2 linked regions of the Alligator mississippiensis genome follow. The protein of the gene in region 2 interacts with the protein of the main gene of each other region in a pairwise test. Links are inferred from orthologs where the notes say so. Each region holds a gene or a part of one and is shown on either strand. Other genes may lie near its edges.

What was found.
Region 1: the proteins of BRAP (region 2) and NUMA1 interact in a two-hybrid assay, tested with the Homo sapiens proteins (2 studies listed by BioGRID and IntAct). The link is inferred for Alligator mississippiensis from reciprocal best matches to the Homo sapiens genes BRAP and NUMA1.

What each region holds. Positions count from the first base shown.
Region 1 is NC_081824.1:477,662,361-477,678,239, forward strand, and holds the start of NUMA1 (nuclear mitotic apparatus protein 1), read right to left. Parts: upstream 8,109-15,879; 5' UTR 8,090-8,108; intron 3,905-8,089; exon of another isoform or gene 2,962-3,904; intron 1,954-2,961; exon of another isoform or gene 1,868-1,953; intron 1-1,867. Other genes in the region: LRRC51 (leucine-rich repeat-containing protein 51), read left to right, coding at 8,324-8,466, 9,453-9,550, 9,949-10,154, 10,563-10,711, 11,124-11,265; ragulator complex protein LAMTOR1, read right to left, coding at 14,821-14,913. UniProt on the Homo sapiens protein: Microtubule (MT)-binding protein that plays a role in the formation and maintenance of the spindle poles and the alignement and the segregation of chromosomes during mitotic cell division.
Region 2 is NC_081833.1:3,671,768-3,687,445, forward strand, and holds the start of BRAP (BRCA1-associated protein), read right to left. Parts: upstream 7,629-15,678; 5' UTR 7,523-7,628; coding exon 7,441-7,522; intron 6,040-7,440; coding exon 5,878-6,039; intron 4,893-5,877; coding exon 4,691-4,892; intron 3,836-4,690; coding exon 3,646-3,835; intron 2,049-3,645; coding exon 1,935-2,048; intron 1,177-1,934; coding exon 1,028-1,176; intron 1-1,027. Other genes in the region: ACAD10 (acyl-CoA dehydrogenase family member 10), read left to right, coding at 7,773-7,890, 7,991-8,139, 8,489-8,683, 11,031-11,189, 11,871-12,030, 14,785-14,926, 15,020-15,088, 15,506-15,678. UniProt on the Homo sapiens protein: Negatively regulates MAP kinase activation by limiting the formation of Raf/MEK complexes probably by inactivation of the KSR1 scaffold protein.

The sequences.
Region 1 (15,879 bases), on a different chromosome or scaffold from region 2:
CCACGGTGTAAGAGAAGTAAGTATTTCTATCCCAAGAAAGCCATCATGGCATGAGGCCTGAACCTCAAGGGCACACTGAAATGCCAGTATGCAAGAAATACAAGTAACTCAGGAACAGCAACAATCCCCAAGAGAACTCAGTACAGCCAACTAAGGAGCAGGGATAAGTGACTTGACCAAGGCCATGCAAGTCCTCAGACACTGAGGCTGGAATGGAAGCTATGTCTCCTAAGTCACCATCCAGTGCCTTAAGCACAAGAGCACTTGTAAGCGCACATACAATATTCAAAGGAGCTCACTGCCATCAGAAAGACTCGCATGTATGTTCAGTTCTAAGGCCCCAAACCTACCAACTGGAGAGGTGCACTAACCCGAATTTCTCACATGCCTCTTTAAGAAGGGGTCAGATCCAGTCTGATCCAAAACTTGGACGTTATCAAAGCCAGTTCTATATGCATCAGCTACACTTTCCCCACTTGTTTTATTTATCCAGGTGCAGCATTCACTAGCAACACCGAGGTAGTGAATGTGGAGTTGAAAGTGGAATCCAATACGAAGAATGAGTATGCTCACACCATGTGCATTTCCCAAGACAACAGCAAGGCAAAAAGCAAATCTGCAGACTACCAAAAGAGAAAATCAGATCTCTGACTCTTAACAGCAACAAAATCCAGTGGTATTTTTAACAGCGGGTAAGGCTCCCCCAATCTATTAATACTGGTTTCCATCTCTGACCGTGTCCCTTTAAATCTGCTGGCCAAATCTGATTGGGAAGTTTCCTTACATCCAGCAAAAAGAGTACTACTATAAATACCCATATCTACAGCTTGGATCTCAGGAGAATCCCACGAGCAGCAAGAGTGCACAACAGAGCAACGAAATAAGCATTCCCTTCTTGGTGTTTCTGGAGCACTTTTATGCTTTGAAAACAGATACCTTACAACTGGCCTAGAACAGAATTTAAAATACAACACAGAACAGAAATACAAAATACAAGACTTTAGAAATTACAGAATACCACACTGACATCCTTATTTCATAACGCACAGCACTTCACCCAACCCAGATTAAGGAGAAAAATCTCCCTGCAACCACAGCCCAATTACTTATGGAAAAAAGCAGAGGGCCCAAGTTTAGCACTACGTGTCAAATCGGCCCCATTAATTTAGCCACGCTTGAACTGGCTCAGCCTCCTTCAAAAGAGTAATCTGTATTGAATCAGGACAGACTCGCTGCACTTTTCAGTTGAGTTTCACTAAGGCTCTGAAAAACCGTGGCCTGCAACCCACCCACTTGGATGCACCAAGAGATGGCAAATCAAGAAGCACCATTGTTGGTCAAGTCTTTTACCTCTTTTCCATAGGACAGGGTGACAACTGAGAGCTTCAAATGTCCTGACAAAGTAGTGGCTTCTCAGCCTCCTTCTCCAGCTTTTCCTTTGCAGGTGAGGTGTAAGATGAGGCAAGGCATGATGAGCTCTACCTACAGTCAGGGAATTCTTGCACAGTGCTCCACAAAGCTGTTCTACCTCTTCTTTCCATTTAGCAAGGCCAATGGCAACACAGCAGATTTCCTCCAACACAGAATATGCCCATACAGCGAAAGGAAGGTGCGACTGTGGCATGTGCTAACATAATCTAGCTAGTATGAGTAACAACAGCAGTGGAAGCACAACGTCGTGAACTTTGGCATATGCTACCAACAAGGGTACCAACCCTTCTGGCATCCTCAGGACATGCTCTACTTGCTAGCACATGCTAAGTCCCATGTTCTCACTCCTTTTGTTACTTGTGCTAGCTAAAAATCAAGCTAACCCCAGCACACCAACATACTTCAACCACACCTTCATTTTGCTGGGCATACATACCTTAAGGGAGTTGTCTTCCCAATGTCATCACCAGGAGGCTTGGCATTATGCTCTCCAGCATTCAGCCCTGTCTGCAAAAAGTTAATCCAGAGAAAAGAAGTAAGGCTACCAAGTCTGAAGCAAAAAATAAAAAAAATAAAAATGCAACCAGTTTATCACAGGACAAAGTTTTTTATCCTGGGATCCTAGAGGTTTACAAACCCACTGCCCTACCCTAAGTACCTGTGAAGTACCAAGATAATGCTCCTTCCCTCCCCTCTCCCCACATTGGGACTTCTGTTGCAGACAGGTCTGAACAGGTCTCACTGTTCTCAATGGCAGGTGACAGAACAAGGAGCAACGGGCTCAAATTGCAGTAAGGGAAGTTGAGGTTGGATATTTGGGAAACCTCTCTCAATAGGAGGGTGGTGAAGCACTGGAACAGATTACCCAGAGAGGTGGCGGCATCTCCTTCCTTGGAGGTTTTGAAGCCCTGGCTAGACAACGCCTTGGTTGGGATGTAGTTGGGACTGGTCCTGCTTTGACCAGGGCGTTGGACTAGATTCATAGATGTTAGGGTCGGAAAGGACCTCAATAGATCATCGAGTCCAACCCCCTGCATAGGCAGGAAAGAGTGTTGGGTTTAGATGACCCCAGCTAGATGCCTATCTAACCTCCTCTTGAAGACCCCCAGGGTAGGGGAGAGCACCACCTCCCTTGGGATGTGACCTCTTAAGATCCCTTCCCACCCTCATTCTATTTAACACTGTTCTGAGTGAGATATTTTAATGGTGTCTGCATTGCCTTTAGACTGAGCTCTGAGGAGCCATCAGTGCACTAACAAACACACTGGAGACAGAGCACTTACTGGCGCATGCCCAATGCTTTGTCTTTGGCCAAGATACAGTGGAGAGCATGGGGCAGGGTTTTCTTCACCCTGGCCAGCAGGTTCTTTTCGGACTAGCATGCGTTGGACACATTTCCACACACCCCACTTCCCTCCAAATCCCATTAGACATGAGGGCATCTCAGAACAACCACAGCAGTAAAGGCAGGCTCACACCTTGCCACTACAAATGTAAGGCATATTTGAATATAAGTGGCAGTCTCCTCACCTTTGCTATCCCAGGTTGCAGGCTGCCTAGAGTGCAAAAGCATAGAACGGGAGACAGAGCACGGGGCTCCTACTGTGCCAAAGCACAGACCCACAGGGCAGGAAGGGCCTCGAGAAGGTAGTGAAGTCCTTCCTCCACCTCCAGGCCCAACTGCAAATAAACTATGATGATGATCGAACCCTGGAGCATTTACAGCAGAGGAGCACGAATTACTTCAATTAAGAGTTTCAAAGGACACTAATATAAAAGCAGATCAGCTCCCTACTTCCAGGATACTTGAAAGGCCAAAGGCAGTCCAGTCTCCTTAGCTGGGACCAAACAAAAAAACGACACAATACAGAAAAATTACAAAAAGGAGGTGGGGGGGAATAAGTCCGACTGGTTAAGTCCACAACCAACTAGAAGCAGCTCTCAAATCACCCTGCCATGTTTTATGGCTTTACTATGACCTTTTTCATTCTTAAAGAACTCTCTCTCTCTCTCTCTCTCCACCTGTCCTATGCTGCGCAAGACTGAGGTTAGGAAGGGAACCCAGCTGATTATTTTGGGAAACAGCAGAACTGATAGACACAGTGACACCAGTGGCTAAAGAAAGACTGTACTTCCATAAAAATAATGAAAGAGCCCAACAGAACTCAAGGCTCTGTCAGGCTGGATGCTGTAACCACTAGGAGCAAGGGAGCCTCTGCTCCAGAGAGCTTACACAGTCTAAACAAGACAGGGGGAGGGAGGTGTAATCTCTTCTGGGGTTTTGCATTATCACCCGGCACTGCAGCAGTGAAGTATCTGCCGAGCAGTGACAAAGAAGATGAAGAAATGAAGCTCAGAGAGATTCAGTGACAAACCCAAGACCGCAGAAGTGGGAGTTTGGAGCTTACCTGAACAGGTACTCTGAAGACAAACAAAAGACAGGGCAGACTGGCAACTGGTTCAGACAGGCATAAGCTTTCATAGGTGAAACAGGCCACTGCCTATGGAAGCTTATGTCTCTTTGAACCAATTAGTCTCTAAGGTGCCACCCTGCCCTGCCTTCTGCCTGAAGAGGTGCAAAACCCCTCCTGGGACGAGGACTGTGTCTACTGGTTAGCAGCAAGCCTGGAAGAGTAGTGGGTGCGCTCCAAACTCAATCACAATCAGTACATGACTCCCCTCTCCCACCAACCAAGTCAAAGGGCTAGTATCTGTACCAGTATACTATGCCTAAGCTCTGCTAAGTTGTCCCATCTCAAGCTAGCTCCTGCCTCTTTGTTATTTGATAAATGTGAAGCTCTTGGACACTGAGGAGGAAATAAAAGCATGATTAGATACCAACTGAAGCAGTCAGAGTCTAGCTGGTGGCCTGGGGTTTGCACTTGACACTCACGCAGTAATTCAGAGCTGAAGCACTGAAACATTAAATCATGTCTCTCATCTGCAGCAACAAGGGATCTCCGGAGCTATTAAGTCCAGTTCCCTGCTTACACAGACTAACGCATTATAATCCTGCTCATAACTTTATCGAGCTTCATCTTAGAAGTCATTTTTTTACTCTCTCCAGGCTAACTTACAACAGGCCTGACGTTTCCTGGAAGACGCCCAAGTAAAACAAGGATCTTGCACAAACCTGCTCAGTAATACAGCCCACATGGGAGGAGAAATAGAAGATTTTGGATAATCTCAGCCAAATGCCTGCAGTGTACACTGCAACTGGTGCTTAAACAGCGACTGGGAAAAGGGAAGATTTTATGATCTAACTGAAGAAGGTTAGGGCCACTCTTGTAGGAACAGGCAAGGACAAAAGCACACCAAGAATACCTCCTGGTTAAATGTGTTGACTGCTCTGAATACCTACGGCTTCCTTCCTCATAAGAGAAAGAAAAGTCTAGAGAACATACCTCCCTCAGATACTTCATAAAATCATAAAAGCATGAGCGTTAGAAGGGACTTCAGGAGGTCACATCTAGTCCAACTCACTGCTCAACACAGGACCGGCCCCGACTACACCATCTCAGCCAAGACTTTGTCTAGCTGAGTCTCAAAAGCCTTGAAGGATGGAGAGTTTGGAACCTCATGAGATTTCTTTTGGTTCAATCCTCCAATTTGTTGAGGTCTCTCTGAATCCTAGCATCCCTCCAGTGCATCTACTGCTTCCCGCAGCGTGGTGTCATCTGCAAACTTGCTGAGGGCACACTCCATCCCATCTTCCAGGTCACTGATGAAGACTTTGAACAAAACTGGCCTCAGCACTGACACGATACCAGCTGCCAACCAGACACTGAACCACTGAATCCAGCCAGCTTTCTATCCACCTTACAGTCCATTCATCCAGCCCGTACTTCCTTAGCTTGCCCACGAGAATGCTGCAGGAGACCGTATCAAATGCCTTGCTAAAATCAACATACACTACATCCACTCATCTCCCCGCACCAACCGAGCCAGTCATCTCATCACAGAGACAATCAGGTTAGTCAGGCATGACTTGCCCTTGGTGAATCCATGCTGACTGTTCCTAAACACTTTCTTCTCCGAGTGCTTAAAAATTGATTCCTTGAGGATCTGCTTCGTGATCTTTCCAGGGACTGAGGTGAGGCTGACTGGTCTGTAGTTCCCTGGACCCTCCTTCTTCCCTTTCTTAAATATGGGCACCACGTTTGCCCTTTTCCAATTGTCCAGGTCCTCTCCTGATTGCCATCAGTTTTCAAAGATGACGGCCACCAGCTCTGCAATCACATCAGCCAACTTCCTCAGCACCCTCATGTGCACTGCATCCAGCCCCATGGACTTGTACACATCCAGCGATTCTAAATAGTCCGTAGCCTGCTCTTTCACCATGGTCGGCTGCTCACCTCCTCCCCAAACTGTGCTGCCGGGTCCGGTAGTCTGGGAGCTAACCTTGTCTGTGAATACTGAGGTAGAAAAGTTATTGAGTACTTTGGCCTTTTCCACATCATCACTGGGCACATCTACATGTTCAATTAACGCAATACAAACTCCGGCACGTATCACACCAGAGTTTATTGCTCCCAGGCATTGTGTTTACATGTGCACCTGGAACCGCAGCACGTTGAGCCGGGTCAGAGCAGCGCCAGGTGGCAGGGGACCCGGGAAGTCAGCCTGCCAGCCTAGGGCTGCTGCAAACCAGCTCAACGTGCTGCAGAGGGGATGGCTGGGACACGAAGATGCTCCAGCGTGGAGTTAGCCAGCAGGCAGCCCCTGTACTGAAGCATCCTCATGCCCCAGCCAGCCCGGTCCCAGTCTACACGTGTGTTATGGCAGAATACTGGACTCCGCTGCAGGATAATGCTCGTATATACAAGTACTATGTTGCGGCAGAGTAAATTAGTTTAGCGTCACACATGTAGACACTGACGTTTTACTGCGGATCTCATTAGGTAGCACTGCAGTAAATGTCTCATGTAGACACGCTCGCTAGGTTGTCTCCCCCATTCAGTAAGAGACAGACACGTCCCCTGATCTTCTTGTTACTCACATCCCCGTAGAAACCCTTCGTCTGACACTTCACATCCTTTGCTAGCTGCAACTCCAGTTGCAACTGGCCTTCCTGATTTCACCCCTGTGTGCCGGAGCAATGTTCTTATACTCCTCCCTAGTCGTTTGTCCAAGTTTCCACTTCTGGAAAGCTTCCTTTTTGTGCATTTATGCAGACACAGAGCAAAAATGCCCTTTGCAAACTCCAGGTCCTTCGTACAATGACTTGACCGTGGCTGACTGTGAAAGCTTGGCCAGACCTACGCATGAAATTTAAATGACCGAAGTACAACAACAGTGCATCTTGCACAAGAATGCAAGATCATGACTGGCACCATGCGAAATGAAGCAATCCCAATTGATCTCATCTCCTGCTCTAGTTGCAAATGTACCCAATGTCTTATTATGTAAAACCATTCATAAATAACTGCATCTCCCTCTGTGACTGTACCCTCCTTGTTGACGCCTCCTCCCTTGATTAAAACATATTTCTCAAAACAGGGAGAAATACGTTTGGGGTTTTGCAAGCGTCTCCACAAACCATTACCGGGTTCAGAAAATTTGGGGCTCTGCCCCACTGTTCAAACAATTACCCCAAACAGCGGCAATGCCCCAAGGTGTCACGTTCAGTCAATCAAGACCCACCCCGTTAGATCCAAGCGTAACCTCCAGACAAATCAAAACGTTGCAGAAAACACGCTGCGCAACGAGATGACCCAAAACAGGATCCGATCTGCTAGCAACTGTAATACGACGGCCCCTCCCTACCTGCTTTGTTCGGACTTCAATCGACCAACTACCCAGGAGGAATGCTTTGAAGCTATACAATTCAAGAGTTGAAGAAGGAAACAGAGCTGCTGGCAAAATGGGCTTCAAAAGTGAGAGAGAAAAAAAAAATCAGGGCAGCATTGCAACCTGCACCCAGCTGGTCACTCTCACCCACGCCGCCGGTGCCGCTGCAAAGACTGACACCGCTTCCTTGCCTGTACTGGCGAGAGACACCGTCGCGCCGAACAGATACCGGACTTTTGTGACAGCTCATTTACTGAATATTGGGAAGGAGTTGTTTCCTGCCCTCCCCGCCTGTCATTTAGTTTTACGGCTTGCTTGTGGTATAGTTATTAAAGCCTCTCTATTAATCAAACAAGGGGTCGTGCCAACCCTTCAGCGCGCTAGGTTCGAATCCCGCTTTTTGCAACCACCGCCAAGAGCCAGTAGTTAAAAAAGAGGGAGTGAAGGTCTAAAATAGAACAGAAGAGGGGAAAAAAAAAAAAGGAGAAAGCGGCGCTTGACCGAGACGCCAACCTCCTGCAGCGAAGGTTTAAATTAGACTCGGTTGCGGCCCGGCAAACCCTCACACCCGGGACTCGAACTCACAGCCTCTGGCTGGAGCTACCAGCAGATGAAGACCCAGGAGCGGGAGAGGACACCCCTCAATTGCCCCCCAGGGCACAGCCCACCCCTCCCCCATCAGAGCCCCCCCTCAATGCACAACCAACCCCTCCTCCACCCTCCCCAGGGCACAACCCCCCCCAAATACCCCCTCCACCCCCCCATCTCAATGCCCAACCCATACATACCCCCCTCCATCCCCCCCCCAGGGCACAGCCCCCCTCAATGCACAACCCCAGACACCGCCCCTCCCCCCCACGGCCGTTACCTCGCCCCCGATTCAAACCGCTGCGCCACACCCCGCCCCCCCGCGCCCTTCCCCATTGGCTGCCCCGGCACTGACGTCAGCTCGCGCTCACGTCACGTGGCGGGCGGCGGGACTCCCGCTCCCAGCAGGCCGCGCGCGCGCGGCGGGCGTGGGTCTCGCGAGAAGGAGGGGAAGGAAAGGAAGGACTCGGCTTCCCGGCGTGCCGCGCGGCTCCTGGGCGGGGTTCGGGTTGCCATGGAGACGATTATGCGCTCCGGGGTGGAGGGGTGGGTGGAACGCAAACCCGGGCTGGGGGCTAGCACGTGTGAACGCGCGTGCGAGGGGGCCAGTGAGTGTGCAAAGCCGGGCGCGGGAGGAGCGGGTGTGCGAGGCAGATGGTGAGTGGATGTGCAAATCTGTGCTGGGGGCTAGCGGAGAGTGTGCAAATCCGCGCCGGGCGCGGGCAAAAGCAGGAGTGAGTGCGTTAGCGAGCGTGCAAATCCGTGCAGGGGGCAGCAAGTGTGAAAGGAAGTGTAAGGGGGTTGGTGGCACGCGTGCAAATCTGTGTGGGGTGGTGGTGAGTGGGAGCACACGTGTAAGGGAGGGTGATACGCATGCACATTGGTGCAGGGAACTAGCAATGCGTGAGTGTGCAAATCCACAGTGAGAAATGGCAAGTGTGAAAACAAGTCTAAGCAGGTTAATGAGTGTGTGAATCTGTGCCAGGGGGGCTTGTGAGCATGAAAACAAATACAGATGGCCTGGTGAGCGTGCAAATCTGTGCTGGGAACCAGAGCGGTGAGTGTGAAAACTTGCACTAGGAACTAGCAAGTGTGAAAGCGAGGGCAAGGGTGGTGATGCTCATGCAAAGCCATGTTGGGAGCCAGCTAGTGTGAAAACCAGTGTAAGGGAGCTGATTGTGCAAATCCATGCTGGGGGCAGCTAGCGTGAAAACAAGCATGCAAACTGCTGAGTGTGCGAATCTGTGCAGGTGTAAAAACAAGCGCAAGGGAGCTGAGGAGTGTGCAAATCTGTGCTGGGTGCCCGCAAGTGTGAAAACAAGTGCAAGGGAGCTGCTGAGCATGCAAACCTGTGCTGGGAGCCAGTGAGCGTGAACGCAAGGGTAAGCGGGTTAGTGAGCGTGCAGATCTGTGCCAGGGGCCGGTGAGTGTGAACACAAGTGGAAAGGGCCCTGTGAGCGTGCACCCCCCGTGTGTATCCTTGCAGCGCGTGAGCAAATGAGGCCCTGTCAGCCTGGGTCTGGCCCAGGCCCGCTCTGGGGCCTAGCCCCTCTCCTGCTAACCAGCCGGGGGAGTCTCCGGGAGCGCGGGGGGCAGCACCAGCCCGGGGCAGTCGTGCCCACTCATGCTCTGTCTCTCCCCAGCATGGCCGGGACGCGGAGCTGGCGCTGGAACAGCTGCAGCCCCTCGCTGCGGGCACCGCCCCTGGACTTCTCCTTCCGAGGCATCAGCTTCCTCCAAGGTGCGGTTTAGCCCCTGGCGCCGCCTCGTTGCAGGGCACGAAGCCACGGCAGGGCGGGCACGGGAGCATCGAGGGGGCACCCCCTGCACACCCGGCTGCCCGGTGCCACATGGCCTCCATGGGGCAGAGATGAAGGGGAGGGGGGGGCAAAGGGACTTGCCCAAGGCGGCACAGCGCACCAGTAGCAGAGCTGGGAACATTGCTTCAGGTGCCAGCTCAGCGCCTCAACCACAAGGACGCCACATTCCCTGCAAACCTAGGAGCAGCCCTGCCCCGCATGCCCCGGGCTCTGCGGGAAGCCAGGCGTGGGAGTGGAGAGTGCACCCCGGGGTGCTCGGGCACAGACGGGGCCTGGCTGTGCCCAGCCTCCCAGCCAGCCGTCTCTCCCCGCTCCCCAGACCTGCAGACAGAGGAGCCGCGGGCCAGCCCGAGGACGATCCCATGCTCAGCGCGGGGCCGGATGCTGACACGGGCCGTGCGCCTCAACAACAACACGCTCAACGAGCTGACGGACCTGGGCCCAGCGCTGGAGCTGCTGCTGGAAAACCCCGAGGAGCTCTCCTGGCTCGACCTCTCCTTCAACGACCTGCCCACCATCGACCCGGTGGGTGCATGGGGGATGCAGATTCTGGTGCCGGCCCCAGTTTAGACCACCTGCTCTCTGTGCCTCATTTTCCCCACCTGTGAAATGGGTGCAGTGTGCTGGAGGTCGCTGTGCCCCTGCTGCAGACTTATCCCAGACCCTCCAGGAGTGAGGCAGGGGGAAGAGCAGTAGAGCCAGATACCGCAGAGTAACCAGGTGGGGGTGGAGATGTCAATGGGACAAAGCCAGACCAGTGCTGAGCACCACTGGCTGCGCACCCCTTGCTTCTCTCAGTCAAGGACCATTGTGGGGAGGAAGGGGGTCTTTCCCTATCCCATGCCTCACTTTCCTGGCTGCCAGGAGGGGGGCGCTTTGTCACGGGGCCTCCCCATGTGCCCCCACTTAACCCCCAGGCTTCGGGCTCTGCAGATCCTGACCACGTACCGCAACCTGCACTGCCTCCAGCTGCACGCGAACAGCATCCAGGGCCTGGGCGAGGTGGACAAGCTGGCCGTCCTGCCCCACCTGCGCAGCCTCACGCTGCATGGCAACCCCATCGAGGAGGAGAAGGGCTACAGGTACCCAGGGATGTGCCCAGCCCAAGGGATTGCTCTGCCTGCCCCAGCCCAGAGCATGGGGGCACAGGAGCCAGAGGGAGGGGAGAGGTCAAGGGCCACCCCTGCAGACTCCCCCTGCCTCGCATGCAGCCCCGCAGAGGGGGTGGGTGTCGCAACACTGCCCAGGTGCCCCTGCCAAGCTGGGAGTGGGCACAGGACATGCTCATCCAGGCCTCTCTTGTGGCATCGCAGGGCCTGGACTGGAGCTTGCTAAAGACTAGCTCTCTGCCACGTTCCCCAGCAGACTGCCCTGTGACTCCGTGTCTGTCCCTCCAAAGCAAAGTGCCAGGCTGCAGCGGGGCCACTGGCTTGCAGGCCACCTGCAATCACGGCTGGTGACTGCAGGTGCCAGCCCTGTCCCTATGCCCCACAGGAGCTACGTGCTGTCCACACTGCCCCAGCTCAAGTCCTTTGACTTCAGTGCCGTGACGAAGCAGGACCGCTCCACCGCCGCCATCTGGAAGCGCATGAACGCCCAGCCGAAGGCGGCCAAGAAGAAGAGAGAACATTCCTGAGGAGGCCTCAAGCCGGGCACCACAGCTGCAGATCCACAACTGGTCCATGGCCCCCTCCCCAGCCTGGAGAGCCTGAAAGCCCCATGGGACATAGGAATAAACCCTTCGCACCGCGCTGTGGAGCAGAGCGTGAGTAACCACGGGCTGGGCTGAGCCAGTGCCAGAGAGCTGGGGCTGTCTTGAGAACAGAGGTAGCAACGGCAAGGACCCAGGTGTCTCAGGCTCCTGCTTTAGCCTGAGACGAGTCCTACTTGCACTGTGGCAACCCCCATCTCCAAGGCAGCTCGAATCCTGGAGGGCAACAACCCACCAGCACCACGCACCTCCAGAAAGCTCATGTACGTGCCCTTCGCCATCTCGAGGAGTTTCCTAGCAGCCCTGGCCATAAGCCCATGACCAGAAGTCATGATCCCCTTCCCAGCACAGCAGCCCCAGAGACTGCTGGGCAGAGGCACAAGGCAGGATCCATAGCCCAGAACCCACCCACGTGGCTTGGTGCAGAGTAGGGGAGGGCCAGTAGCCCAGAAGTACCTTGCCCCAGGATCCAGCCACAGCAAGGACGCTGGCCCCTTTCCATCCACCCTGCCCTTAGGCAGCCTGTCCCAGGCTGGCAGGTGCCAGGCGTCATTCCCTGGGGTGCAGGTAGCTGGCAGAAGCCTGTAAACCACAAGGCTCTTCCCTGCCATTTCAGCCCCTTTCTGGCTAAAGCCACCCCCAGCTCCCTGCTTCCAGCAAGTCGCAGGAGCTGCCCCTGCCAGCCTTGCAGCTGCCCAGGTGATGGGGATACATATTGCTCCAGGCAGCAACTGCAGGGAGCAGAGCAAGCTAGCTACCAGAGCAAGCTACCAGGCTGGGGATCTGCCTCTCCCCTATGCAGCCCCAGAAACAAAGGACTGAGTGCTACAGAGAAGGGCATGGGACCCCGTAGGCAGCGAGGGGACGGGGTGATGGGCCCTACTGGGGCTAGTTTCACTCCTCCCTGGCACAACAGAGCAGCCCTCCTGCTGCTCCGAGTCCCAGCAGCTGGCCCAGGGCCACAGGAGCCAGCAGCATAGCCGGGAGGGGTAGAGGGGTGCAGGACTCAGCTCTGCGCCTGGCTGAGACCAGCCCACCCAGAGGGAAGGCGCCTTCCTGCAGAGGCTTCTTAGGGCATCGGGTCAAGGAAGAGCTCCAGATAGGGCCCCGCACCCACATTAAGGCACCTGCCCCCCGCAAGGGACTTCTGCCACCAGAGCCTAAAGGTCGCCAGCTGGGACGAGAACACAGGACCCAGAGCAGTGGGGGACATGAGGGTCCCAGCCCAGCCCCTTGGATTCGCGTGCTCCTGCCTGCTCTGTTGCAAGATGCTGCCCTGAGAACTCAGCTGGAAGGGCATCGTGCTTGGTGCCCATGTACTCTGCTCCTGCCACCCTGTGGCAGCGTCCTATTAAACACTCAGCAATGCACATGCATCTGGCTCAGACTTAGCCCCCAGTGGCAATGACCCATAAGGCACAAACACCAGCCTGCCCTGCCCGAGTAGCCCAGGGGCTGCCCCCAGGCTGTCCCAGCACCCTTGCTCCCGGTTGAATCTGAGCTCATTTCACAAGGGCAGCTGCTGCTAGGTTCTCCCCCTCCCCAAAAGCTGCTCCTAAGGTTCATTACCTTCCCTGCTAAAACCTGCCCCTAGCTGGTCTGTGTTGCTCAGTGAAGAACCTGGGGGTTTCCCCCTTCCCTCCCAGAGGCTGCCAGGGCTGGAAGAATTTCAGAGCATGAGGCTCTGCCAGTGCCCAGCCACATGTGCTGGGGGAGACGTAGGCTGCTCTGCTCCAATGCAGGGAGCTGCAGCAGTCCTGCCATTTCCACCTATGGCTGGGTCTGGATGTCCAGCTGAGATCAGCCACCTTAGCGCATGGGGGTCTAGGATCAGAACCCAGCACCTGCAGCCATAGCCCAGGCTTCTCCACTGCAGAGTGGAAGGACTGCTCTAGAAACGGAGCTGGGGGACATTTTCAGCAAAGCAGAAGGTGGCACAGATAGGGATCAGGCAGCCAGGAAAGCAGAGCCTGGGAATTGGGTTTCTGCCCATGGGAGCAGTAGGGCAGGGACCCCTTGCTTTCATAATGCAGCTTGATCATTGCGCTCACACCGATGCAGCTGCCCAAGGTAGCCAGGGACTGGGGCAAACCCCTGTCTTTGCCTTGCTGCCTTGGAGGGCCGGTTCCCCCAGCTCTGAGCTGCAATGTTGGCCTGGGGAAGGGGCAGGGGGCACTGAAAAAAGCTGGGCACTCCTCCCAGCGGGCAAAACAAGCACAGAGACATTCACCGACTATCACAGGCCCAGACTCTGCTCAGGCAGCAGGCCAGAAGCAGCACAGGGACACAAGGACAAGCAACTGTGATGGGGGAGAGGCATGCAATGCTGCTGACACAGGGCAGGGACTCGCACTCTCCTGCCTGCCTCATGCCCAGGCCTGAGGGTGCCACTGCCCAATGGCAACAGCAGAGGCTCAGGGGATGAAACAGAGAAGCCAGCGCTCCAGGCCAAAAGCAGAGTGAGACCCACCATGCTGAGATGATCCATACCTGGTCCAGCACCACAAATCTAGTCTTTCCCAGGTATCCTGCTCTAGAAACCAACACAGGCCTCCTGTCAACAGCACCTGGGTATCGATGATTGCAATCCCCCTGGCAGCTGCAGCATTGGCACCAAGCTTATCCAGGGACCAGGAAATGAGTTGGCACAGAAAAGGGCCAGCCAGCTAACACAGGCTGCAGAAGTCCAAGGAGATCAGACCAAGTGACCACCTCCAACAGCAGCCAAAGCAGGGACCACGTTCCCAAGTCCTCACTGCATCCCTCCATCCCTCGAGCGCTGAGGGAGCTCCTGCCTCGCAGCAGGGAAAGAACACAGCAGGGACCTGGGGCTGAATGAAAGGGCTTTATCTACGGTGCCAAAAAAAAAATTAAAAAACAAAAACAACAACAAAAAAAATCCAACTGAAAGGCCCGGGCGTGTGGAGCCGCGGGCGTCAGGCAGACAGAGCTCTGCGCGGAGCGCCACAAGTGGGGCCCGCTCCATGCCTTTGTCACACACACACACACACCAACCAGCCCAGCCCTCCAGGAACATACGAGGGCCTGGGGGGCATTGTCTCAAGTGCAGCATCCCCTGAACCAGCAGTTGGCAACTGGGAGGGATACTGAAGCCCACCCCCACCTGCCAAGAGCCAGGAGTCTGTCTTGTCCCCAATCTTTGAAACAAGGGCACCTGGGGGCTGGAGAAATGCCTCCCGTTGTGCTCAACAATACAGGCTTCCTATGAAATACAATATCCCCCCTCCCCACCGCTATGCTGGCCTGCCCCCCCACACACACATACATGAGAGAAAAGGAAAGCCTGGGACCAGGTCTGGCCTCCTACAGCAGCGGGGCCTGGGCGATGGTGCCGGTCTCCTGGGCAATTAGTAGGAAGTGGGGGGATCTGTACAAGTTCTGTGGCAGCGAGGCGCCCGTGGGAGAGAGGAAGAGGGCAACAGAAAGAGCGAGGGGGTGCGGGCAGGCACGGGCGCCAGCTCAGGGGATCCCGAACTGCACCACGAGCTCCTCTTTTGCATCCACGTGGATCTGTGAGAGTGCGCTGAAGGCGTAGGCGGCTATCCGGGACACCTGGGGACAAGCAGAGACGCACATGAAGGACTGTGATGGGAAAGGGAAAGAGAACCATACCCCAAAGACCCAGTGTTTGGCTGCAATGCCAATGACCGAGGGGCCTTGGCCTAAGAGGGCTGGTCACTGCAGCAGGGGCAGGGAAGGGAAGAGGCAGGTGCATTTCCAGGCTGTACCCACCAAGAGGCAGCTTGAATAGCTTGCTGGTCAGCCTCTCCGCAGTCAGTGACTCCAGGCAGTCAAGGCCCCAGCCAAACATCTCCCCTCCACGGCTGCAGCTACAACCCATATAGGGCTCTCCATGTTGTCACACCCACCCCCCCCCCAGCCTCCAGTCCCTGGGAGAATGAGACCCTGAGCTGAAGCTGCCAGGTGCCTCCCTTGACCCTTGTGATGTACAGAAGTCTCAGAGCCCTCGTGGCAGAGCTGGCTGGAAAGCAGGCTCGCCTCCACCCCCAGGGGAAATGCTGCCTGTTGATAACCCAAGCACATGGAGGGTTGGGGTCAGCTGCAGTTGCAGATAGCTGCCCAAGCACTGCCTCAAGTGAGGGAGAATCCAGCCCAGGACCTCTTGCCCTATGGGGAAGCAGGGTCACGAGGCCCAGCAGAAAGCCCAGGAGCCGGTGTTCTCCACATAGGTGCCAAGGAAGAGGTGGTCAGATATCCAAATATCTAAGATAAGGAAAAATATCCAAGATAAGGAAAAGGAGGGTCATTTATGGCAGCCCCGTGGGGCTTGTGGCTTCGGGGCAGTGTGTTTCTGGTAGGCGGCAGGAGCAGCAGCTGAGGATGGGAAGTTTAAGTCTTTGCCCCAAGGCATTTTACAAATGCACACAGGGTTTCCACAGGAAGGGTGCTCAGCTCCTGTCTCAGTCACATCCGAGGGGACGGGGAAGGCTGGATTCGGCTGGAAATGCACAGCGGAGTAGAAAGCAGATGACAGCAAGAGTCAGACTCAAGCTCCCC
Region 2 (15,678 bases):
GATTTATGGGGCCAAAGACTCAGTAAAAGCCTTCCTGAATTTAAAACAGATTCTGCTGGGGAAACCCACTAGCACAGCTGAGAAACCTCATGCAAAAGAGGTTTCGTGATACATGATGAAAGATCAAACTAAGGTTGGTACTCTAAAGAAAGAAAAGCTGAAGAAAACGATCTGCAGTTTGGCACCGAGCTTCTTGTAGAAGTCTCTAACTGCCTGACATGTAACAAACAGCTACCAGTAGGAATGTAAAGTGTGTGAGACAGATAACAGGACTCTGTTCTCTGCAGGGATTCTATAAAGGATTGACATGTACCTCACTGCTCTACCTAATGGGATCTCATGGAATAAGAATTAAGGTTAAATAATTAAAAACAAAAACAAACAAAAAACGCATGGGCTTTAAGGACAAAATGTACCAGCAAACCACATTTGTCATGTGAAATAACATTTATATCCTGCAGTTCATCAGGATGAATTGATTTAAAATCATCCGGAGATTTTAAAATCCAAGACCTCTGTTTAAGAGTCATTTTAATCTTCTCGTGTGTGAATGCCACTCATCGTCTGAAGGCAAAATGAATTTGTATTGTTCAATCTAAACACTAGACTATGCAGATTCACGACCAAATAGAACCTCTAGACTCTATAAGGCACATTTTTGCTCCTTACAGGGTATTCCAAGCCTGTTTGAGTAATTATTTTGCTTAAATTTTCATTGATCTTGAATTTGAGCATGTAGGAAGTGGGAAATACTTATTAACTAGATGATTAGCTTTTTGCTCATGATGTATTGGGTATATTTGCATATCTAAATTAGACTGCAGTCTCCTTAGAGCAGAGACCTCATCCTGGACATTTTCCAGGCCCTACAGCTGCCAATGGCACCATGTCTGCAGAAACTCAGACATCAAAAAAAAAATCAGCAGAGCAGATGCTGACCAAAGCCAGCCCCATCAGTACAGAGAAGAGGAGCACAGCTGCAAAGCCGGTACTTTGAATTACAGAAAAGCAAAGCAACATCTCTTACGTGGTGTCCTCCCACCGCTGCAGACACTGGCTGTGGAAGCTGTGGTTACACAAGGTGGTCAGAATCCCATTGACAGACTCATCCATTCTCTCCAGGCACACTGTGCACTTTGGGAGCTCGGTCAGATCCATTACAGGAAGGCTGGCTCCCTGCACAAGAAAAAGGGACACAGGCTTATTGCTGGACCTCCTCCAAGCAAGTTGTACAGCTAAAAACTGCACTCTGAACACAAAAGCCTAAATGAACCGCTATGAATCCTAGTAAAATTATAGGCAGCCTAAAAATTCTACCAGAGGTAGCAGTGACTACCCTTTGTGGCCATTTTGACACTTAGTCTGGCACCAATTAGAGTACACGTCTGGGACAGTGCTCATGAGTTCTTCCTACACCTCCAAGACCAGCTATGTCAAGGACATGACTCTGACAACACCCACAAGTTCCATTCCCAGCTCTGATGCACTCCCTCTGACCAGTCATTTAATTGCAGTTTGCTTCCTCCATGTTTTAAACAGGATTCACATCAACCTCTTAGAGGGGTGTTGCAATGATCAGCTTGAAATACTGAGAATTAACTAGCTAATAAGGTGTGAGGAAACACATGCCTCTGGGACTAAACATACATCTTCCTCCCAGCAGGCCAAACGTAAAGGATATTTAGCCGCACTAAGCCCTATTCAGATTTCAGCAGAACATAACTGTTCCAGAGAGGGAGACCAGGAGATTGGATGTATAAGGTCCCAGAACTTCAGAAGGCAGGGTTGCTCCCCTAAATGCAGTGCTGCAGTGGCAAGATGCAGTCAGACTTGAGGCAGTTAAAGGTCTGCAGCCCCTGCAGACAAGCCTGCCCTGTCCAGCTCCAGCTAATCCTATTAAACAGCTTGTAATACAGTCTGGAAAGGAAACTTACATCTTCTGATTTGAAGACTTCAGCCCTCTCCACGTACACCAGCTGGCAAACGTCTTCTTCTATGGAGTTGAACTGTCGGCTGTTGCATGCCATATAGAAGCTGTCTGCATCTGCCTAAAAACAGACCAGAGGAACAAGACTCATACTACCTGCAGCTTACATTACCAAGCAAGAAGGAATGAGAATTAAATATCCTCTCTCCCACCGCTCCAAGTGCCCAAACAAGCATATATCATAGGTAAATCTCTTGATGTATGCTAATCACTATTCCATCTCTGCATTGGATTCAGCAGTTTTCAACTTAAACTGGCAGAAGAACTGAAGAGCTCTCAGCACTGGACACTTGCAAACATACTGCTCAAACAGCACTAGCCAATTTCTTTCTTTAATATCAGCTTTGTCTGCAGTCAACAATTTTGGCACTAACTGAAAGCAACTGCTGTTTCTTTGCAAAAGCCTGGAAGAAAGACACTGCCATCAGAGGGCCCTATTCAAAGGGATCAAGATTTGTACAGTATATCATTTACCTGCAGAAAAAGCTCAAATGCTCACTCTATGCAGATGTGTACTGAAGCACTTCATACCAGAGCATTACTTGAAAAGAAGCACTGCTGACTGAACACAAAATAACCCATCTGAGTTATTATGGATGAGCCACAACATCTCAAGTGCTGGCTTATTACAGTCAGCAATCCAACCGTCAGGAGGAAAGCGAGCTGGAAGTCAAGGCATTCTCATTCCTGTCTCCCAATTCTTGAATGATGAAACATGAAGCTGTTCCAGTTTCACCACACACCTTACTGACACACTTACACAGAAATAAAATGTAGAGCAACTCAAACGTGCTTCTGCTGCATGCAGAGATGGCTGGTGAGGGCCTGCTGAAGCAGGGAGTCCGCCAGTTTTAAAAGACAAGTGGGAAGTTGTCTTGAATCAGTGGACTGGGCAAAAACTCTGTTGAATTAGTACAAAGATGGTTGGCATCAGACACTGCCCCCAAGTGAGTTTCTATGAAGGGGGCTTACTTTAAATAGGCTTGTGGGATTTACGTTGTGCACAACACAGGAGTGTTAAGCTTGTAACAGCTGAGGAAGAGACCCACAAGTATCTGGTCATCTAGTTCACTTCAATCTTACCTCCCACCCCCTTCTCACAATTCTGGGAGGGAGGGAGCAACGTACGCATGAATGGTCAGTCCCTGTGACCGCAACAGAAGTATAGGCTAGATGGTCTAATAGCTCCTTGCTATCCTCAGTTTCCATAGGAACTAATGCTGTCACAGAGATCAGGCTATTTCTTGGTCTGCTAAGACAGACTGCACAATGCATTCATATCTTAGTGAGCATCTGTATTTGCTTATTGCATTCTCTTCCACAGGGTTTTTAATGGGTGAGGTATTGAAGTCAGGCAGGATTTGTCTAGATCTTAATACTCTGCTGGCTATGATAAAGCAAGTAGTAAGCCAGGACGTGCATAACAGCATTGCAACTGTACAAGTTGTAGGTCTATGATGAAGGCTAATGGAGGGCCAGCATCAGTATCACTTACAAAAACCCCCCCAACATTACATCACAGGAAGCCTCTCATAGCAAAGGCCCATGACCTCAGGAAACAGCAAGCCACTAAAACTGGACAGCGCCTGAAATTAGTGTTCACACAGCAGCCCATTTCCCAAACAGTAGAAACCTGGCACCACACTTCTGGGCTTTACCTGTGAGCTGAACTTTATCAATACCATGTACTGGTTCGGAGTGGAATCCCGGATGATTTTCATATGCTCAATGACTTCATAAAACGGGGCTACAAACTTCATCAGGTCATGACTGGTCATGGTAGCAGGCACCGTGAGAATACAGAGCATTGCACTGCGCCTCACATCTTCTTTCAAAGAGGTCATCTTACTAAGAAGACAATAAAGTAGATTTTTAAAATTGAGGAAGTCAAGACTGACATCTTAAGACCAGCTTACACAGGAGACCATACAGCAATTTCATGCTTCACAATTTAAATGTACCTGTGATTGTAAAGCTCTTTGCCTATTTGTACACAGTTAAAGGGTTAAAAGGTGGTTGTAACAAGTCTGAAGACACCCAAAAGGTACTTAGTCATCTTTAAAGAAAGGGCTCACGTGTGCAACCAACAGATATTGACCCACAGTACATATTCTGATAGCTGTATTTTTGTAAGAGTACCTGGGCCTTGCAAACCACAAATACTCAAAATATTTCTAGAGTAAACAAGCAATATTGATTACTGATGTAATAGCCATTGTGTCCTGGCCACGTTCAAGAACATCTGAAATTGATGGTTCTCATTCAGCTCCCTAAGGGAGGAGATACGATTATGCCATCACTGCAACAATAAACTTGGGAAGTGCAGACCTTTGCGTTCATTTTAACGTTCCAGGGGAACATGAACAAGGAGATCTTTGTCTGTGGGATCCCCTCACACCTGATCTTTCTAGGGCCATCTTCCAACTGGTGTTTTTACTCCCACTGCTTACATGAACACTTGCTCTCCGAGACATCCTCACCCACAGCTGGAAGGGTTGGGCTTAAGTTACTACCATCAAAGCAGCTACGCAAGTCAGACTACACCAGACACTGTCTATGGTGCCAATACCCCAGGCTTCCTGTGCGTCATTGCTCCATCAGTCCTGTAGCAACAGCCCTAGTGTTCCTGACTCACCCTTCTGGATGGCAAGAGTCCATGGTGCAATTCCCACTAGATCTATAATGAGTCAAATACATTCTTACTTTGTTTTGTACAGGTGCATAATGCCATGAGCTATTTCAACTGATGGGTTCCCACTGAAGAAGGAAATCTGGTCAGGAAGTTGTTTTGATGGCGAGTCTGGAGCAGCCTCACATTCTTTACTCTGACTGTCATGTTTACTTGTGTCATCAATGGATGAAGCTTCTGCAGATTTTCTTCCTTCCATTGCAGCTTTTGTCTCATCTTTTACAAATCAAAAGTGTTCAGATTACTGAACCACACATCAGAAACTTCAACTGCATTTTAAGTGCAATCTTATGTACAAGAGAGGATTTAGTTATTCAAAAAGTCAAATTATGACACGTAAAGCACAGAATAAATTATGTGCTTCTAAACAGTGGTCTCCTCGCACTGAATAATCAACAGAACTGAGGCATATTTAGGCACCAGTTTGAGAGACCTTTTAGCTGGGTCACGGGCGCTGCAAACCTAGTCAGACAAGTTCTGAAGGGTGCCAGGCTGAGTTTTGCAGTATGCTACTTTGTTATCCAACAACTACAAGTTAATTTTTTTATTGCACTTAACATAAAAGCAATCAATATAGTTAGGATAATCCCTGTGCTTAGTTTTGCATTGCTTCGTTTTCAGTTAGCTTTCTATGCTGTGCAATTTTAAGGGCAGGGTTAAAAAAAAAAAAAAAAAAAAAGTATCTCAGTGGCACAACTGAGAGTTTCAATATCCGCCTGCTATTCAAAGAAGATAGTTACAAGAGGTAACAACACACAATCAAACCAGGGCACGCTCAATGTTGCAATTTGTGACTCGCAACATTAATGCTCTTAATCATTATCAACAAGCCATCCTTATTTAAGAGAAGTTTTAGATCAGATTTTGGGTCTATAAACTGTACTGGCATCACTTCTCATGTCCTTAAAAGGCAGGATTTGCATTTACCAGGAGCTCAGCAGCTTAGAAAGTCAAGCCAATTTAAATGGCCAGCAGAGACTCCCTTTGCCTGATGAAGGGTGACTGTGCCTGAAAGCTTGCTAAGAACTTTTCCCCCAACTACTCAGTAGGTCTGATAAAGATGATTATCACATCTACCCAAAGAAACTTGCAAGCAAATTTAATACTTTTAAGAGAATACCCATATGTTAGACTAGTAAAAACCTTACAGGCATTACAGACCGATTACTGGAACACCTTTTTCAAGTTTTAGAACGGTTACCTGGGTCAAGCTGTATCGTCTCAATGATCATATCCGTCATCTCTCTGCGGCCAATATGCTGGTGAATAATAGCTGCTTTTTCCACCAGCGCCTTTCCTTCTAAACAGGCTGAAGCAGAAGCAAGCGACTTTTCTTTGATTTCCTCATCAGACATTTGAGTGGCTAAGGAGGAAAACAATTAGCTACTTAAACAATGTGATCCGGAGCAAAAAACAAGCAACGCCAGTGGAAGGAAGGCAGAGCAGGCTTCCCTAATAACAGCCATTAGGTCTCTACCAGGTCATTACAATAATTCTTTAAGCTGCTTTTATTCCTTCTTCCGCAGAGTAAAACCATCAACCAGAGGAGGGGGGGAAAAAAAAAGTTTGTTTTGCTGCCACACACGTAACCCTTGCGACCTGGCACGCGGTGGTTTGAGTGCGGTAACCAGCCATGACATCTGTCAGTCAGGGGAAGATCTACTCTGTCATAGACCAAAAAAGAGACGCATTAGATGAGCACAAGAACATCGGGACTGCCATTTCCTGGGTCAGACCCTAGATCCATCTTGCCTGTCCCCCACGCCACACGCTGGCAGCAACGGATGCTACACAGGAGTGACGAACTGGGTCTGAACAGAGGTTTTTTTCCCCCCCTACTTCTTCTCCCACTCACAGCCTCCAGCATTTCAGGTCTGGGAAGCTCCGATTGAGGGGCCGCGCCCCGCGCTCCCCAAGCTCAACAGCCACAACAGACATCGCTTTCCTCCAAGAGCGTGTCCCATCCCTTCGCGAATCTGGCTAGACTCTCAGCTTCCAACGCCTCTGCCGGCAACACGTCCCACCCGTTAATGACCCGCTGCGTGAAAAACAACATCTCGCCTTCCTTCCACGCCGGCTGCCTGCTCGCCTCCCGTTGCGACCCCTCGCTCTCGTCTAGACAGACTCAACCCTACGCCCCGACCGACTCCCCCGTCGCCATCGGGCGCTTTACACGCCCGCGTCGCGTCCTGCGTGAATCCGGCAGCGCTAACCGAAAGCGGAGATCTTCGCGCGGGCCGGGCAGGACGCACTGGGGAGTCGATATCTCACACACGCGAAACATGCCCCCCCTCAAGGGAACGGGCCTGGCCTCGTCCATCCCTCCCGCTTCGGCTCTCGCGGGTCATTTGGGCAGAGGCGGGCACGGGACCCGCTGTGACGGCAGGGGTGGGCCGGCTGCTTCTACCAGCTCCTCCGCAGAGCGGCTCCGGGTTTGTGGGGGGCGAGTCCTGAGGGGGCTCCCACCCCCTGCCCCCCGCTCACCCAGGGGCACGGGGTGGGTCTGCTTCGACACGGGGACGAGGCTGGGAGCGCAGAGGCAGCAACAAGGGACGCACAGAAACCACCTAGAGCTGCCCTGCCTGAGCAGGACCCAGCACAGGGGAGACCCTTGAGGGGACAATGCTCCCTCCCTCACCAACAACCCCCCACTCCCCCCCCGCCGGCCCCTGAGGGGACAATGCCCCCTCCCCCCCAATGCCCCCCACTCCCCTCCCCCCGCCGGCCCCTGAGGGAGGAGGCCGCGGCGCAGGGCCGCACGCACCGGCCGCGCTGTAGGCGAAGGCGGCGGGCGGCGCCGAGTGCTCGGCCAGCTCCAGCCGGATCACCACGAGCGGCACGCTCATAAGGCCCCGGGACGCCGGGCCCGAACGGCACCGGCCGAGGCACAGCGGCGGCGATTATGAGCCGCTTCCGCCTCGGAGACCTCTGACCCCTGACCCCGCGAGGTCGCGCACGCGCGGGGCGGGGCGTGTGCGTGCGTATGTAGTGGGGGCGGGAACGTGCCTGGTCACGTGAAGAGGTGGTGTGCTCTCGCGAGAGTCGCCAGCAGGGGCAAAGGTCACGGGGTTGCCTTGGTGACGGGCAGGCCGCAGCATGGGCCTGCGCTGGCTGCTGCAGGTCTGGGGGTCGCGCCGCGCCGCCCGCCCCTGCCGCGCCGTGGTCTTCGACATGGGCGGCGTGCTGCTGCCCTCCCCGTACGCGTGCGCCCGAGGTGAGTGCCCGGCCCCCGTCATTCCCCCCCCCCACCCGGGGCGGCCGGTCTCCAGCAGGGCTGGACGGGGACGGCTAACCACGACCTCCTCGCCGCGCAGACTGGGAGGTGCGGAACGGCGTCCCGCCCGGCACCGTGCGGCGCGCTGTGGCCTGCGGCGGGCACGACCGGCCCTGGATGAAGTACATGCGGGGGGAGCTGACGGCGGACGAGTTCGTGCGAGCCTTCGCGCGCCAGTGCTTCGACATCGTAAGCCCGCCGCCCCGCTTCCCGCCTCTTAACGCCTCTCTCCGGCCTCCGTAAACCCTAGAGACGCCGTAGCACGCGCCCGCCGCGCCGCAGGCTTCACGCTGCTCCCGGCGTCGGCACCCCTCGTGTCACCGGGCGGGTCGAGAAATAAAGGAGCTGCGAGCTGTTTCCCGTCCTAGCGTCGTCCCCGGACGCCGGCACCTCCCCCTGTAGAGCTAGTCGCCGCAGGAGCTCCCGGGCGCCGTAGCGCGAGCAGCGTAGGCGGCGAGCTCTGTTACAGGGAGAGGCAAGTGTTATTTTCTCTGTAAAGAGGCTGATGAGCGTTTGGGGGGTGTTTCTCGCTCCTCAGACAGGCTCCCCCGTTCCGGTGGACTCCTTTCTCTCCGACCTCACCAGCAAAGAGATGTCACAGCAGCTCCCCGCGATGACCGAAGCGATACGGCGCATCCGGGCAGAGGGCCTGAAGACAGCGGTTCTGAGCAACAACTTCTACCTGCGCAGCGGCGCGAGCTTCTTGCCCCTCGACCGAAAGCAGTTTGATGTGGTAAGCCCAAATGTGCTCGGACGTATGAAAGGCACCCGGCGCGATACTGGAGAGGCAGGTGCCGAGCTAACGACAGTGGTGATAGCAACGCCTCGCGCGCTAGTGCGACGTGTGAGGCACGGCTCTTGTAACAGACCCACCGAGCGGGTTTTAGGGAGTAGCGGGCGCCTACGTTTTCAGTGGGTCGTCGCAAAGCGCCGGCGTACTGTGTAGACCTGCTTCTGCTTATGTACCGTGCAAGAGGCGCAGAAGATGAAAAGCTTTATAAGCTAGCAGAGAGCAGATTTAGACTGGACATTAGGAAGAACTTCTTCACAGTTCGAGTGGCCAAGGTCTGGAACGGGCTCCCGAGGGAGGTGGTGCTCTCCCTTACCCTGGGGGTCTTCAAGAGGAGGTTGGATATGCATCTAGCTGGGGTCATCTAGACCCAGCACTCTTTCCTGCTGATGCAGGGGGTCGGACTCGATGATCTATTGAGGTCCCTTCCGACCCTAACATCTATGAATTAGCACTTTTACCCTTTTGAAGCACTCTCCACCTCGATCGGTCTGAAAGCACATTGCACGTGACATACAGGCTGTGCCTGGTGTGGTGTCCCATAGCTGGCCAGCTGGCATCTTCCCAGGGGAGAGAAAGGACCATTGTGGCTACAGTGCAAGCCTCTGCCCTTAGTGCAGGAGCTGAGTGGGCTGTGGGGAGTCAGCACGCTGGACTTTTGCATATGCATATCGGGTTTTTTCCCCACTGGAGGTTGCCGCTGTGTGTCCCAGAATCCAAGATTCGGTCTAGGCAGGTAGAAGGCCTGGCCCTGGCGTGGATGAAGAGGGATAGATCAGTCCTACATGAATGTGCTCTCCTTTGCGGGGTAAGCTAATGCAGGCACCGTGCCGGGTCGTGGGCAGCTTTGTGAGGTCGGAGCTATTGGATGCTTCTGAACTATGGCTGTCGTGTACGAAGACAGTGATCTTTCCTCCACCACGCGCTGGCTGCTAGAACATTTGCTCCTCAATTTTCAGACAGGAGCCTTCCTTGTTGTTGGCTCTCAGTTAACCACTTGGCTTCACGATCATTTTAGCTGCCTTGTGGCTTGTCTTTTTAGACCTAAGTCAATAATCAGGTGTTTGCTGGCCTGTCATTTTAAACCTGTCTGAGCTTTCAGCACATTCCGGGCTCGGCAGGGACCTTTGCACTCACTGTTTCCTCACGTTTGTTTTAACCACAAGTTATACCTCGTTCACGCACGTTTACTCGGGGCAATCATGAGTGCTCTCCGGTTAGATGAACTATTCGGCTTACTCTAGATGTGGCCCTATTCTTTCAGATCTACTCCTAATACATTAAGAGGAAAGTTTAGGTACTTTCAGTTCAGCCCCTTCTGAATGACATAACCTTGAACACAGTCCTCTTTTGCTGTGTGCGCCAGCAGACCTCTAAAAGTTTGGCCTTGTTTTATAGCCTTAATGAGGCAGGGGGAAAAAAAGCGTGTGTGAAGAAAAGTCACCTTGTTAACATAGGGATTATTTTCTGTTCAGTTTTCATAGCGAAACTGGCCTCTTAAAATACCCTATTCTAATGCTGTATTCTGTTTCTGTAATGCCTTTTCTTCCACACAGTTTCAGAGCACAGAAATGACTCCATATCCTGTGCACAGAACACACCCTGCAATGAAATGTCACCACCTGTGAAATGCGGTTGCTGTATAACAGCTTCCGGCAACATGAGGCAATACTAATATAGGACAGGAAGTGAAGGAGAATGTATGCCTTAGCTCTCTTTCTGCAGTGCCTATCAATGTGGTCTCTAAGCAATAAGCTAATATTGCATTCAATTCTAAGCAGAGTGGGAATTGATGGAGACAAATGTTCTTCTCTAGATTAGAAGGGGGTCAGAAACCCTGGGCCTAAGGTCTCTACCGCTGGGATGGCTGATAAGTATCACAGTCAGGACTGTACTTTGTATTTCCTCTCACAGCAGTACATGAGCTGCTGGTTTAGCACTGACTCTGGGGGAAAGAGGACCATCCACCGTGTCTATTCACAGCCATATTCCTTGATGGCTCTCCAGCAAGAACTGGTTGGTGCTGCTCAACCTGTGCTATCTGGCACTGTCCCAGCTGAGGCAAGAGGCAGCAAAACACTCATTCAGCTGCCTGGGTCAGTTCCTTCCCACCCTGTAAGGATGACAGCGAGCACAGCCCTGCCAGCACCCTGCCCCTTGTTCATTGTGCTACACAGGAGTCTCACACTTACTCGTGCCCTCTGTTCTTACAACTTCCCTGACGTTCGTGAACAGGAATTGTGGTGGCTTTTTGTGGAACCGCTTCCAACATGGTTGGTTTTTGTTGTAGATAGTCGAGTCCTGCCGGGAAGGGATATGCAAGCCAGACCCTCGTATCTACACGTTGTGCTTGGAGCGTTTGGGCATCCAGCCAAATGAATCCATCTTCCTGGATGATATTGGCCAGAACTTGAAAGCGGCAGCCCAGCTTGGCATGAACACACTGAAGGTACAGAGCAGCACTGGCACAGCCACCTGGGGGTTTGACTTGAATGGGCTGCGTATGGTTACCCGAGTCTAGCCAGACTTGCGGTATTTCATTCGCTGCCCATGCCCATAGTTTTGTTTGGCAAGTGAGCGCTGTCGCTGCAAGGCTGAACAAGGGTTCACTGTCAGGGTCTGAGTTTTCAGGCTCCATTCCCCGCTCTGCCTCCAACTCTGCACAGCCTTGTGCATGTTAGTTATCTTCTCTGCGTCTCAGCTCCTCGCCTGGGAAAGAACAAAATTTACCCAACAGAGGCCTGGGAGACTGACCTCACTTTGGAAGCGAGCTGCGTGGGGGCTGATTGGCTTACAGGGTGAAAGAGGGTTTTGCTGAGGAGAAGGGAGGTGGAGACGGAGGATGGGACCCCTGGAAGGACCGAGTTCTGCTTCCCTCTGGCCCTCTCTCTGGGGACATTCACACACATGTCCCAGCCTGTATTTGCAGTGCAAAGCCTTTTTGTCTTCCAGGGGAAGGGCTTAAAGGGCTGCAGAGAAGACACATGGAAAGAACAGGTGCTCAAAGGAGACTAAAGTAGCCTTAGTTTTGCCTTCAGCGCGTGGTCGTCCCAAATGACCCATATGGACCAAACAGTTGGAAGTTTTTTACCCATTTACAACCTAACCCTCCCTCTTGCCCCAATATCAGGTCGATGATCCAGAAGTGGCTCTCAAAGAGTTAGAAAACTTCCTGGGTTTCCCTTTGCGGGGGGCTGTTCCATTCACTCGCTCTGTGAGGCCAACCATGGAAATCCCACAAGTGCCTCTGCAGAAGTACCTGGAAAATGTCCTAGGCAGCCACACAACAGGTATCACAACTCTCCTGCCCTACAGCCCTAAAGATTTGTTGTCTCTTTCCTGCACAAGACTAACGGGTGTGTAACAATCCTAACACTGACTACTGGGATGTAACAAAGCACTCTCATGACTTGAGCACCTTTTCATACTCTTTTCAAAAGGCTGGTCTGTTTGAAGCGTTCTCGGTAATGCTTTCTGAGATCTCATGTGTGATTCTGCCTCATTCTAATTCCAGACGTTGGAATTAGCCTCATTCTAATTGCCAGCACCATGATTAGCTGGAGTGCAGAGGGGTGTGCGGCCTGGCCAGAAGCCTCTGGGTACAAGGCCTCTAAATGGCATTTATTAGAGTGGGGTTTTCTTTGCTCAACCCTTGTTAATGGGTAAGAACCAGTGATTGATGCTGCTGGCAGGCGCTCACTGCTTGGCCAGGGGATTCCAGTCGCTGCCATGGCCACGCAGCTCTGGGACTGCCTTTTGGGACCAGAATGAAAGTGCCTTGTCATCTAGAAAGCCTTAGATTAAGGCAGGTTTTAAAGCAACAGTGCCAGATCCACTGTCATTTAAATATGACCACTTGCTGTAGCTATGCTGCTAACCACAATGTGGACTATTCTGAGAGAGAATTCAGCGTCTATCATTTCCCTTTTATGATTCAGGCAGGTTGTTTAACCGGCTACTTCACTCTGCTGCAGCATCGTAAACAGACCGGGAAACTTTGCTGTTGTTTCCAGCCCATTTCACTTCCATGTCTTCAAGCCCTGGCTGGATTGTGTGAGATGTGGAAGGTGAACGTTGCAGGGATATGCTTTAAAAAAAATGCCTCTTTCATTTCAATGTCAAAACAAATCACGACAATGTTTCCTTTGGCACTGGGCTTTAAGAACCTCAAACGCTGAGTCTCTGCTGACAGCTGGTCTCTCTTTGATAGTTGGCTTGGAGAACCAGTTCATAGAAAAGGCCCAAATGCTTGTTTTCCCCACTGCCCATTATCCCTGGCACCTGAACCAAACCAGACACTTTTAAAAGCTCAGGATTAGTTTGGATTTAAAAAAAGCCAACCAGTTTTTAAAACCTTCAGGAAGTCCTTGTGCCTTGTAACTATTCCAAAACCAGTGCCTATTCTGCTTCTTTCATCTGCCCCTGATTTCCAGACTCTCACTACAGTTTAATTCATAGATTTCATAGACATTAGGGCTGGAAGGGACCTCGGAAGATCATCGAGTCCAGCCCCCTGCCCAAAGGACAGGAAGTCAGCTGGGGTCGTAGGATCCCTGCAAGATAAGCATCCAGTTTCATCTTGAAGGTGTTCAGTGAAGGCGCTTGAACCACCTCCGGTGGCAGGCTGTTCCAGACCTTGGGGGCTTGGACAGTAAAGAAATTCTTCCATATGTCCAGCCTGAAACGGTCTTGCAGTAGTTTATGACTGTTTGACCTAGTTGTCATCCCTTGGGGCGCTCTGGTGAACAAACGTTCCCCCAGATACTGGTGGTCACCCCTGATGAACTTATAGGTGGCCATCAGATCACCCCTGAGCCTTAATGTAAGGACAGGGGATCGTTGACTTAGATGCTATAACCTCACGGGTCAGAGGCTTTGGCCAAACAAAGACACCAGTGTTACCTAAATGAGAGTCCATTACGTTTCTGCTCTGTTCCAAAAAGTGACTCAGAAAAACCACAGATCAGATGTGCTCGGTTTTCACATAAAAACATGAGTTTTCTCACCGATCAGAGCCATGATGGAGTCTCCTGGCTCCAGATATCAGAGAGACATAGGTAGCCATGTTAGTCTGCCATCAGGCAGAAGGCTGGGTAGATGTGCACCTTATAGACTAACTGGATTGTATACATATAAATTAGTTCCTGTATCATCTGTCACCACCAGGGTTTTGCAGTGGGGTTTTAGTTGGCAGGCCTGTCTATGAATTTCTCTTGCCCACGTTGGCAAAGTAGGAATAAGATGCAACAAAACCCCTGCTTTTTGTCTTTAAAGCCAGCAGCACTGGTCAAGAACTCACAGGGAACTAAGTCAGGAGGGGCTGTTTTCACCCTCTCCCTTTTCACGCTGACTGCACTTTAAGCTGGTGAAGAACTCTTGCTGACAGCACTCACAGCAGCTTACTGAATCGGAGTAATCGGGGCTGCTAGTTAATCACTGGAGCGCAAGTGGAAGATGGGAGGGAAGCCAGGCCAGTAACGAAAGGTTCAAAGTTCACCAGCAGCTGCAGACCTCCACCAGGGAGCTGGCCTGGGCTGCTGCTGGAGCTGTCTCCCTTTGCCCCTTTGGCAATAGGCAGAGAGGTTCCTGTGGCACAGGGCACAGGCTTGGGGCCTAGGGGAGGCACAGCCATGCAGAGGGATCAAGCAGAAAAGCCCCTGCAGAACACAGAGCAGTCCCAGGCTCCCAGACGCCCTGCCTTGACTTCAGCAGGACTCCAGGCGGCCCTCTGGCTACCTGTGTAAGTCAGTGCCCTGCAGGTCTGGGCCGAGCGTACAGCCCCTTGCGCGAGAGAGCTCACTGCAGTAACCCAGGCACAGAGATACAGACCCAAGAGGCAGCAGCAAGCTCTGCCTGGGACACAGCCCCCAACCCGTTAGCTTTGCTAAGTCTGACTGAGTGCGCCTCCCCCCTCCAGACTGCAGCCGGAGCATCCTGGTCCTCAGCAGGCCTTTGGTTCAAGTCAGCGATGCTCAGCCTCGGCTCTGGCCATTTTAGGCTCCTGTTCTTTGCTTTCCACAAGGCCTCTGCTTTGGAATTTGCAGGTTCTCTGCTCATCCGGCAGTTTAGCCATGGCCAGTCGAACCCGACGTACTACGTGGAGTACGGGGACCGCCGCTTAGTGCTGAGGAAGAAGCCCCCAGGCAAGCTGCTCCCATCCGCGCATGCTGTGGAGAGAGAGTACAGGTGAGAAGATGGTGTACGCACCTGGATGGGGGAACATGGGAGGGCTCCCTCTGGACTCAGCCCTTCTGCACTGACCGCTGCTTGTCCCGGCAGGGTGCTGAGGGCGCTGGCGGAGTCCGGCGTGCCTGTCCCTCGAGCGCTGGCCCTCTGCGAAGATTCCAGGTGAGCGTTTTCTCCGCAGCTCAGCTGTGGGTGGGACAGCAGCTGCCGTGGGGACCCGGGTTATGACGGGGTGCAGGAGACAGCAGCTCATGGCCCTGGCAGGGAGGCCACAGTCCCAGTCAGGCAGAGGGATGTGCATGGACAGCAGCTGTTAGGACTCGGGCACTGCTGTGGAAGCAGAGGGACATCAGGCTTGCCCACAGAGGTTGTGGATGACAGTGGAGACAGAATGGCTGCTGTTCCTGCCTTGGTGAGGGATGTGGCTTTGGAACAGGATGGAGGCGAGGTTTTACCTATAGAGGGGGCCTCAGAGGCACCCCAGAGCCTCTGATCTCGCTCCTGCCCTGATGCCACCTCGGAGCACTGAGAGTCCCAAAGGACAGTCACTAAAAGGCCTCTGCTTCCCCTGCCTCCCAGCATCATTGGCACGCCGTTCTACCTGATGGAGTACTGCGCCGGCCACATCTACAAGGACCCCTCCCTCCCCGGGCTGGAGCCCAGCCAGCGCAGGGCCATCTACGCTGCCATGAACCAAGTCCTTGCTCAGATCCACAGCGTGGACCTCAAAGCAGCTGGACTGGAGGATTATG